Linked DNA regions of Oryctolagus cuniculus. The protein of the gene in region 1 interacts with the protein of each later gene in a pairwise test. Links are inferred from orthologs where the notes say so. Each region holds a gene or a part of one and is shown on either strand. Other genes may lie near its edges.

The links.
Region 2: the proteins of EIF4A3 (region 1) and CCDC174 interact in binary tests that used the Homo sapiens proteins (3 or more experiments, as listed by UniProt). The two-hybrid records come from large-scale screens. The link is inferred for Oryctolagus cuniculus from reciprocal best matches to the Homo sapiens genes EIF4A3 and CCDC174.
Region 3: the proteins of EIF4A3 (region 1) and PDCD4 interact in binary tests that used the Homo sapiens proteins (3 or more experiments, as listed by UniProt). The two-hybrid records come from large-scale screens. The link is inferred for Oryctolagus cuniculus from reciprocal best matches to the Homo sapiens genes EIF4A3 and PDCD4.

Annotation. Positions count from the first base shown.
Region 1 is NC_091448.1:2,080,158-2,083,806, forward strand, and holds part of EIF4A3 (eukaryotic initiation factor 4A-III), read left to right. Parts: intron 1-860; coding exon 861-927; intron 928-2,116; coding exon 2,117-2,179; intron 2,180-3,003; coding exon 3,004-3,136; intron 3,137-3,290; coding exon 3,291-3,371; intron 3,372-3,649. UniProt on the Homo sapiens protein: ATP-dependent RNA helicase. Involved in pre-mRNA splicing as component of the spliceosome. Core component of the splicing-dependent multiprotein exon junction complex (EJC) deposited at splice junctions on mRNAs.
Region 2 is NC_091441.1:113,440,333-113,444,081, reverse strand, and holds the start of CCDC174 (coiled-coil domain-containing protein 174), read right to left. Parts: upstream 2,227-3,749; 5' UTR 2,129-2,226; coding exon 2,087-2,128; intron 1-2,086. UniProt on the Homo sapiens protein: Probably involved in neuronal development.
Region 3 is NC_091446.1:19,357,489-19,361,137, forward strand, and holds part of PDCD4 (programmed cell death protein 4), read right to left. Parts: intron 859-3,649; coding exon 751-858; intron 518-750; coding exon 407-517; intron 1-406. UniProt on the Homo sapiens protein: Inhibits translation initiation and cap-dependent translation. May excert its function by hindering the interaction between EIF4A1 and EIF4G. Inhibits the helicase activity of EIF4A. Modulates the activation of JUN kinase.

The DNA.
Region 1 (3,649 bases):
GAGAGGTGCCCGCGGCCCCTCTGAATCCCACGACCTGAGTGCGCTCCTTTTCTCTTGAAGTTTCTTCTCGTCTACTTGAAAGGCAGTGACGGGGGTGGGGTGGGGTGGGGTGGGGTGTGTGTGTGCTCTCTCCTCTGCTGGTAGTGACGGGGGGGGGCTCTCTCTCTGCTGGTAGTGACGGGGGGGTGGGGGGTGCTCTCCTCTGCTGGTAGTGACGGGGGGGGCTCTCTCTCTGCTGGTAGTGACGGGGGGGTGCTCTCTCTCTGCTGGTAGTGACGGGGGGGGGTGCTCTCCTCTCTGCTGGTAGTGACGGGGGGGTGCTCTCTCCTCTGCTGGTAGTGACGGGGGGGTGCTCTCCTCTCTGCTGGTAGTGACGGGGGGGTGCTCTCTCCTCTGCTGGTAGTGACGGGGGGGGTGCTCTCCTCTCTGCTGGTAGTGACGGGGGGGTGCTCTCTCCTCTGCTGGTAGTGACGGGGGGGGTGCTCTCTCTCTGCTGGTAGTGACGGGGGGGTGCTCTCCTCTCTGCTGGTAGTGACGGGGGGGTGCTCTCTCCTCTGCTGGTAGTGACGGCGGGGGGTGCTCTCTCCTCTCTGCTGGTTTGCGCACTGTGTGCCTCCAGCGGCCAGAGCTGAGCCAGGAACTGGGAACTCCGTCCAGGTCTCCCTCGTGGTGCGGGGCAGGAGCACTTGGTCCATCATCTGCTGCCTCCAGGATGCATCAGAGGGAGCAGCCGGGAGCTGACCGGGCTCTCAGACAGACGGAGGGGTCAGAGGGAGTGGCCGGGAGCTGACCGGGCTCTCAGACGGACGGGGGGTCTACTGTGCTCTTAACGCTTGCCATGTCTGTGTCTCCGTGTCCAGGTCTCAGTCCGGCACAGGCAAGACGGCCACCTTCAGTATATCTGTCCTCCAGTGCTTGGACATTCAGGTAATTTGAAACTTAAGGTCTGCTTTTTTTTTTTTTCCCCTTTTTTTAAAGGTTTATTTATTTGAAAGAGTGAGGCAGAGAGAGAGAGGTCTTCCATCCAATGGTTCACCCCCCAAATGATTCCAACAGCTGAAGCTGAGCCGATCTGAAGCCAGGAGCCAGGAGCTTCTTCCAGGTCTCCCACGTGGGTGCAGGGGCCCAGGGACTTGGGCCGTCCAGTGGTGTTTTCCCGGGCACGTTAGCAGGAAACCGGATTGGAAGTGGAGCATCTGGGACTCAAACCAGCATCCATATGTGATGCCAGCACCTCAGGCAGAGTCTTCGCCCACTACGCCACAGCACTAGCACCAAAGAGAATCTATTTATTTATTTATTTGACAGGCAGAGTGGACAGTGAGAGAGAGAGAAAGGTCTTCTTTTTCTGTTGGTTCACCGCCAATGGCCGCCGCGGCTGGCGCACCGCACTGATCAGGAGCCAGGTGCTCCCTCCTGGTCTGCAGTGCGGGTGCAGGGCCCAAGCACCTGGGCCATCCTCCACTGCCCTCCGGGGCCACAGTAGAGAGCTGGACTGGAAGAGGAGCAACCAGGACAGAATCCGGTGCCCCCCCCCCCCCCTTTAAGATTTATTTATTTATTTATTTGAGAGGAGTTACAGACGAGAGAGGGAGAGACAGAAACGTCTTCCATCGGCTGATTCACTGCCCCAAATGGCCGCAGTGCCCAGAGCTGTGCTGAACTGGAGCCAGGAGCTTCCTCTGGGTCTCCCTTGTGGGTGCAGGGGCCCAAGCACTTGGGCATCTTCCACTGCCTTCCCAGGCCATGACAGGGAGCTGGGTCAGAAGAGGAACAGCCGGGACCAGAACTGGTGCCCATACGGGATGCCAGCACTGCCGGTGGAGTCTTAGCCCCCTATGCCACAGAGCCAGCCCCAACGAGAACCTTAACTGCACAGTACCTGTCATGCATTCCTTTTGGTTTAAATGGAGGCTTTTTTTGTTCTGAACCCAGTCCGAACAGGTAAGCAGTGTTGCTGGATTTGTGGTTCAGATGTGGTTGAGATTGGCTCCCTCTGTTAGGAGTCAGAAGGAGGGTCGTACACGGTCGCGCAGCACCGATGACGGTGGTGTGGGCCGCGCAGGCTGTGTGGGGATGCTGAGGACGGCTGTCGCCTGTCGCGTTCTTTCACCAGGTCCGGGAGACGCAAGCTTTGATCTTGGCGCCCACCAGGGAGCTCGCGGTGCAGATTCAGAAGGTAAGACCCTGGCTGTGCTGATTGGGGGGTCGGATCTCATTTATTTTTTGTCTCCTCAAATTATTTGCCTGATTCCTATCATTTTGCCCTAAATCATCTGTTATATGAGTTATTGGATAGAATCAAATCATCATTTGTTATATGAGTGGCTGCTTAGAATCAAGTAATTTCTAGGATAGGCTGTGTGTTTTCAGGAGGTTTTTGTGGCCTTATAAATGTTAATTTTGTTTTTAAGGTTTATTTTACTTGAAAGTCAAAGTTAGAGAGAGAGGTCTTCCACCACTGGTTCACTCCCCAGATGGCCGCAACGGCTAGAGCTGGACCGATCCAAAGCCAGGAGCTTCTTCCGGGTCTCCCACGTGGGTGCAGGGGCCCAAGCACTTGGGCCATCTTCCACTGCTTTCCCAGGCCACAGGAGAGAGCTGGGTCGGAAGTGGAGCAGCCAGGACTTGAACCAGCACCCATATGGGATGCCAGCACTGCAGGTGGCGGTTTTACCTGCTATGCCACAGCACTGGCCCCATAAATATTAATTTTTTAACTAAAAAACTACTTTAATAATAAAATGTTTATACTTACATATCATATAGATTTTGGAAGGATGGACAGTAACGTTTGGGGTAGGTAGGAGTTTTATCTGTTTCCCACTCTAGTTAATATGTATTGATTTCCTAATAAGAAACAAGGTAAATGAACTTCATTTTGGTGGAAAGAGAGCAGAGAGGTTTTGTGGCTTTAGGGCATAGGTGGTAGCTGGTGACTGTCGTGGCCTGGGGTAGAAGGGCCCTCCTTGCCGTGGCTGACGTGGCCCTGTGCTGCCCCAGGGCCTGCTGGCGCTCGGGGACTACATGAACGTGCAGTGCCACGCCTGCATCGGGGGCACCAACGTGGGCGAGGACATCCGCAAGCTGGATTACGGGCAGCACGTGGTCGCCGGCACGCCGGGGCGCGTCTTCGGTGAGTGCTGGAGCCGTGCTGCCTGGGGGGTCTTTGCCCTGGGTCTCCCCTGGGGTGCGGGGAAGGTGTCTGAGACACCGTGAGAGAGGCTGGCCGGGCCCGCACTGCCCTGTGGTCCCAGGTCTGAGCGCCCCACGCACGTCTGGTCTTTCAGACATGATTCGTCGCAGAAGCTTAAGGACGCGCGCCATCAAGATGCTGGTGTTGGACGAGGCTGACGAGATGCTGAACAAGGGTACGGGCGGCACGAGGGTTTCTTTGCTGCTGACGCGAGTGCGGGGGGGCAGCTGGCTTGGGTCGGGCACGAGCGAAGGTTTTCATGCTGCGGTTTGTCAGGCCGGTCCCCGGCAGCACAGGAGCGCTTCAGGTCAGGTGGCCCGGCCCCCTGGTGGCTGTGGTGGGCCGCGTGGGCCGGTGCCGCGTGGAATTGAGATGCTGCTCACGGAGGTGTGGTGGTCGTCTGTAGAGGCTTCGCTTGCTCTCCTAGCCGCTGCACTGGGGGTGTGACTGTTC
Region 2 (3,749 bases), on another chromosome or scaffold:
CTTCCAATCCAGCTCTCTGCTATGGCCTGGGAAGGCAGTGGAAGATGGCCCAAATCCTTGGGCCCCTGCACCCACATGGAGACCTGGAAGAAGCTCCAGGTTTCCAGCTCTGGATGGGCTCAGCTCAGGCTGTTGCAGCCATTTGGAGAGTGAACCAGCAGATGGAAGACATCTCTCTCTGTCTCTGTCTTTCAAATAAAAAAATAACTCTTCAAGAAATACATAAATCAATAAATGAAACGCACATCCTTTAGACTCAAAGTTATCAGGCACCTTCTCCCTGACTGGCACTCCATTTGGCCTCTTCATGTGGTAATCTCATTACATCATCACAACAATTTATTTTCTTGACAGGAAAATGTTTTCATTCAGTAATTATTTGATCACTCAGTTTGTGCCTGGCACCTAATCCCAAGGAAGAGGCCACACACATGATTCAGACGTACTTCCTGCCTCCAAGAGCCTAGGATCTAATAAGGGTGATTTATAATACCAATTAAATGTAATCAGTGTAATCGAAGACTTTAAGGTGGAACAAAACTGCCTCAAAGTTCAGATAAGGGAGTATTTCTTTCTGTCTGGGGGCGATCAAAGTTTGAGCTGACCCTTGAATGACAGGCAAGGTTTCAACAGCTAACAGCTAAAGCAGACCAAGAGATAAGAATAGCTCTAAGCCTGGCTTACCACATGGTTTGCAACTCACAATGGTTCAACTCGCAATTTTTCAATTTATGATGGCACAGGAAAGCAAAAAGCATTCAGCAGGAACAGTACTTGGAATTGTGGATTTGGATCCTTCCAGGGCTAGCGCTATGTGGCCTGGTCCCGTCTCAGAAGTCGGGCAGCAGAGAACACAGCTGCCAGTCAGCACTGTGACTCTGAGGGGAAACACCCAACACTCTACAGTGCCCTGGGCCCCCAAGCCATCAGCTTTGCTAGGCCAGGTGCGCTCAATGATTTTTGCACATGTTATTTTCAACCTATGAGGGGTTTACTGGGATCCAACCCCAGTGTAAGCTGGGGAGCATCTGCATGCTGTCTCAGAAGCTGTAAGTGTAACGGAATCACAGTGTTCAAAGGGAAAAGGACAGGGCCAGGGCCGCTGAGTGAAGATTCGTGCCTGCCTTCACCTCCCTCAGCCCCCGCTCCCATGTCTGCTGCAGCACTGCTCACAACAGACGAGACCCAGAACCGAGGGAGGGGCCATCATCTCAGGGACCGATCAAGAAAACGAGATACACGGACACCACGCAATGCTACTTGGCCATAAAAAGGGATGAGATCCTGTCATTTCCAACAACGTGGATGAGACCGGAGGTCGTGGAAAATGACGCCAGTCGGGCACAGAAAGACCAGACCCACGTGATCGCACTCACAGGTGGACTCTAAAAAAGTTAACTGCATAGAAGCTGCGAGTAGACAGCGACCATCAGAGGCTGGGGGTGGGGGCGGGGAAGGCTGGTTGGTAAGAGCTCCTCGGGCAGGAGCAAGAAGTTTCGGGGCTCTACCACACAGCAGGGCGACTATCGATAATGACCATGGGCTGTTTCTTTTCCGAAACAAACAACTACAAAAAAGATTTTGAACGTTTTCACCATGGAGAAATGCTACATGTTGGGGGAGACACGTCTGTTAACGCTGACATTACACAACGTACGCTTGCGCGGAAACGCCACAGAGTATCCCATAAATATAAATTAGAAAATTAAAAAAAAAAAAATTTTTAAAGGAAGCAGAACCACCCCAAACAGTTTACCCCGTCGGACCTCCCAGCTCCCGGGCGGCGCTTCGCTCGCGAGCCCGGCCCGGGTCTCCGCAGCCGGACACGGCTGCCGCGCCCGGGCCCCGCGGGAAGGGAGCCCGCGCTCGGCGCGGGGCTCAGGGCAGACGCCTGGGCGCGGCACGCCGGCGGCAACGAGCCGGCTCGGGAGCCCCTGCGTTATTAAGCCGGCCAGGCCCGTCGGGAGAGAGAAGGCCAGCGCCCCGTTCCTGAGGGAAGAGGCCAGGTCTGGGTCCCGAGCGGAGAGACAAGCTGGACGGAGACATGGGGACCCCGAGGCCTGTAGCATCACCTAGCTGTACTTACCGAAGAGGCTGCAACGTCCAGAGGCTTTTTCCTCCGATCCATAGTGGCGCCGGAGCGTCCCGGCCCACCGCCAGCTCTTCCTGAAGTCCCTCGGGTCTCACAGACTTACTTCCGGCGCAACCGGAAGTAGCTTTGACAGCGACTCTAAATCCCCGACGTCGGCGCCATCTTGTGAAGGTCTTAATGTGTGGCGCGTTTTACGTTCGCCGCCATATTGGGAAGGTAAGAGGGTGCCCGTGTTAGAGGACGGACTAGCGTTGGCGCCATCTTGAGAGAGGCTTTCCTTGCAAGGGACACCAACCATCTTGAGTGGGGAATGGGCGAGAGATGTGGATGGCGCCATCTTGAGGAGGGCCTGATAAATTCAAGATCTTCAGAATGGAAACAGCCGCTTAGGAGATTCGCAAAAATCCAAAACTTTGGAAGACTTGCTTTGTGCGAGGTCCTGTCTGGTGCTTTTCACGTGTTGATTAGTGGACTCTCGCAAAAGTCGTATTGGAGTAAATCCGTATTGCAGTATTGTCTTACACGTAACAGCTGTGTTAATAGCTGACATGAGTATGAGTATAGTGATCAGTTTTTTTTTGTTTTTTGTTTTTTGTTTTTTTACGTATTTTCTCGTAAGAACATTAACTCTAGCAGTGGGCACTGTGACACAGTGGGTTAAGTCACTGCTTGAGAGGGTGGTGTCTGGGTTGGATCCCCTCCCTGGTGCCACTTCCAATCCAGCTCCCTTCTAATGCACCTGGGAAGGCAGTGGAGAATGGCTGGAGGACTTGGGCCCCTGACACCCATATGGAAAACCTGGATAGAGCTCCTGGCTCCTGGCTCAGATATTGCAGCCCGTTGGGGAGTGAACCAGAAGATAGAAGATCTCTGTCTCTCCCTCGCTCTGTGGAAAGAACATGCACTCTAGAAACTGAGTTAGTGGGCTGGAGTCTCAGTTTCACCACTTACTGGGCTTTGTGACTTTGGGTAAGTTGCATTTTTCTGCACCTCAATTTCCAAAGGTGAATAAATTGTTTCTTCCTCGTTGAGATTATGAGAAGTAAATGAGTTAAGTGAGCTGGTCTTGTTAAAAATGTTAATGTCTGTGATAGACGGACTTGTGACACTCCCCCCCCCAAGATGTCTCCCTCCCAGCCGCCGCCCCCAACCCTCACCAATCTCTGAATCTACCAGTTAAAGGGAATTTACAGATGTGAGTCACTGACGCTGTTAAAATGGGGAGACTGTCCAGGTGGGCCCAGGCCACCACAGGAGTCCTAGTGAGAGGGGAGCAGAAGTTCAAAGTCTGTGAATGAGGTCAGAGGTGACCACACTGCAGGCTTTAAGGCGGGGGGAGGGGGCATGGCCAAGGGATGCAGGACGCCTCTGAAAGTTGGAGGAAAAGCAAGCAAACAAACAGAAAGAAATTCCTCATCCTCTAGGCTCTTCTGCGGTAGTGCACCATTACTGATATGTCATCTTAGCCTTAGCTCTAACATGCTGGCACGTGTTAGAGCTGGAACTTTTGGAACTACACCAGGATAAATCTGAGCTGTCTTAAGCCCCTCAAGTGATGGGATTGGTTACAGCGGCAGGAGAAAAGAGGATACAAATGCTAATGACTGCAGCAGCACTAAGCTATAAGTCAGGCAGGTGTACACCTGTCTCCATGGAT
Region 3 (3,649 bases), on another chromosome or scaffold:
TACAAGATGGCCCAAGTGCTTGTGCCCCTTCACTCATGTGGGAGATCAGGAGGTGGCTCCTGGCTCCTGGCTCCTGGCTTTGGATCGGCACAGCTCCAGCTGTTGCAGCCATCTGGGGAGTGAACCAGCAGATGGAAGACCTCTCTCTCTGTCTCTCTCTCTGTAACTCTTTCAAATGAATAAATCTTTTTTAAAAAAATCAAAAATAAATGAAGACACACACCCACAGTGTGTGTCCCACAGTGGAGTGCCTGGATTCAACCGAGCCCAAGGGAAAACAGCCAACATGGAACCTATAGGCATAATACTAAACATGCCTGAAAGAAAATTCCACTGATAGTCTTTATTCGGTAATGTATTTAAGGTTGAATTCTAAATTAATTGTTCAAAGTAATTAGGTACTTACTCTTTTCATTTGGTCTACAGTAATGGTATAAGACTTCCAAAGGGATTTTAACAAATCCAAAATCATCCTAAATGTACTTTCTCCAGTTGACTCTAAAACCATTACAATAGCCTAAAAATTGAATAAAAGAACAAGTTTTCATTATTAATTCATATAAAAATTCTGAAAATGCATCAGATCCCTTTTCTTTAACCATGCACGACTGGGATTTTATGGTCATTACAAAAATTTACAAACCACTTTCTCAATCTTAAAAAAAAAAAATGTAATGTTAAAGAAACATTCAGTTACAGGCACAAAAAGGGGCACTAGTCAATCTTCTTGGCATGGAAAAGTAATCTTACTTCATACACAAGCTCATGGTGAAAATGAGGTACTTCCAATTCCTTAAGACAATGTTCTGCTTCGGAAATGTCTCCAGAGAGTAAATACTCTTTCAGCAGCATATCAATCTATAAGATTGGAAAGTTGGGATGTGTTAGAATTCCTGACTTTTGGAAAGTCACGCTTGCCTAAAGGATTTATTTACCCTTATCCCATATGTTACGTGATCAAATAGGTCATGAACTAACACCATACAGACTGGAATGATACCATAACTTTTTAAATAATTAAAAAATCACCAAGTTTAAAATGGTTCATAATTATGAGGCAAATGCAATCCTTCAGTGTGTCTGAATCACTGAGTATAAGTAGGTTAAAAATGCTCATGGTCTAAATGGTCACCATAATGCTTCAGTACTCCCCACTAAAAACAAAGGATTTTAAATACCAGTAGAGGGCACTAAATGAAAGTCTCAATATGAATGTTTAAAATGGCAGAAGACAGTTCACTTCTATCAGCATTATCTTAACAGTGTAAATAATGAGACTAATGGGGGCATTACTAGATAAAGAATTTTTTTTACAAGGAGGATTTTATCTAAAAACATTCATCAGTAACTTGGCTTCAAGCTGTAGCTGAAGAGGTAAGTACTGACTTCCTCACTCAAACCTGTACAGTAGTATCTGTGGCTCCAGAGACCCTCCACTAGGAATGTTCTTCCCTATACACTGCCATTGTAATCACCTTGGCATCCAGTAAACAAACAATGAATGCGGACCAACTGAATACTTTAAATAACCCCTACTTCCAACTTCTGGAATATATTTTCATCAAAAGTAAAATAAAATTGGTAACTATAATACATCCTAATGAATTTCTATAATCAAGCTTTAGGAAACTGACATTTAGGCCGGCGCGGTGGCTCACTAGGCTAATCCTCCGCCTTGCGGCGCCAGCACACCAGGTTCTAGTCCCATCGGGGCGCCGGATTCTGTCCCGGTTGCCCCTCTTCCAGGCCAGCTCTCTGCTGTGGCCAGGGAGTGCAGTGGAGGATGGCCCAAGTCATTGGGCCCTGCACCCTATGGGAGACCAGGAGAAGCACCTGGCTCCTGCCATCGGATCAGCGCCGTGTGCCGGCCGCAGCGTGCCGACCACGGCAGCCATTGGAAGGTGAACCAATGGCAAAGGAAGACCTTTCTCTCTCTCTCTCTCACTGTCCACTCTGCCTGTCAAAAAATAAAAAAAGAAAAAGAAAAAAGAAACTGACATTTAAAGCATGGCATTTAAATAAAGGGTTTTACTCTGTAATTATAAAACTATTTAGTTCTGTTATGTAACTCTAAAAAGTATATCAGGTTCCATGCCTTTTTAAATAACAAATTACAAATATATGCATTTCTGAAAATCATCTTTGTCCAACCTTTTCTTCTAAGTAAACAAATACCCAAATAGTGTCTACCTCAAATTGATATATTGGTAATATTATTTCAGTTTTTAATCTTATCCATTTTTATTGACATTATTCACATACCATAAAATGACAGTTTCTCCAAATATTAATATTGGGGAGTTTTACCATATTAACAATATTAAGCTTTATAATCTATAAACCTGGGATATTTTTATTATCTTCCTTTCAACATTTTGCAGCTCCCAGTTAACAAAATGTGCATTCCTTCCATTAAAGTTATTCCTAAATATTTACTTTTTGATGCTGTTGTAAATGCAATTGTTTATTTCATTTCCAATCACACTGCCACTGTATAAATACAGAACTGAAATCTGTATATTCATATTATAGTCTGTAACCCTGTTCAATACATTTATGGCTTAATAGTTTGGTTTTGGTCGGAGAAGAGGTTATTTTGTGGGTCCTTTGTATTTTCTGTACATACATTGTTATCTAGGAATGGAGCTACTTTTGCTTCTTCAAGTCTAGATTCCTTTTATTTATTTTTCTTGATTAACTGCCCTGGAACCTTGACTATTTTTATACCTTAATTTTTCTATTACTAATTCTTTAATTACTTAAAGGAGACCACTGCAATCATCACATTGTGGACACCAAACCATCTATTTTTATATATTTAAAAATAAAATTGGTCCAGGCTCTATATTTGAACTCCTTAATACTTAAATTAAGGGTACATATGTGTGTGTGTATACAATTAAGACTTATCAAAAATCAAAATTATACTCACATGAAGATTATACTCAAAAATCAAAAGCACAGGAACTATAAATCATCTAATTGCATGCCTTTTCTAATTACATGCAGATAAGGGGATTAAATACTTTTTTGGTTTCTTACATACAACACCAAATTACAGGCAGAAAACAACCAATGTGGAGTAAATCTGGCATTTTATTTAAAGATTTATTTATTTATTTGAAAGGGAGAGGCAGGGGCAGAGAGACAGCAATCTTGCATCTGCTGGTTTATTCTCTAAACGTCACAACAGCCAGGGCTGGGCTCCCAAACCAAAGCCAGGAGCCAGGAGTTTCATCCGGGTCTCCTACATGGGTGCAGGGACCCAAGCACCTAGGTCATGTGCTGCTGCTTTCCCAAGCACACTAGCAGGGAGCTGGATCGGAAGTGGAGCAGCCAGGTCTGCAGCAGGTGCCCACATAGGATGCTGGCTCTCCAGGAGGCTGCTTAATGCTCTAAGCCACAGCTCCGCCCATTCTGGCATTTTAATGCAATAAAAATCACTTTTTTTTTTTTTTTAAGCATTCAGGGGTCTTCAAAAAATTCATTGAAATTAGTATGAAAAAATGAATGGAATTTCAATTGTTTTGCACCAAAATAAACTTATTTTTAAATCTCATTTTCCACAGATTTTCTGAAGCACCCCCTTATAAAAGTATTATTCAATTTTCCATCTGCAGGCTGAACTTATGAAAATACCAACTAGCAG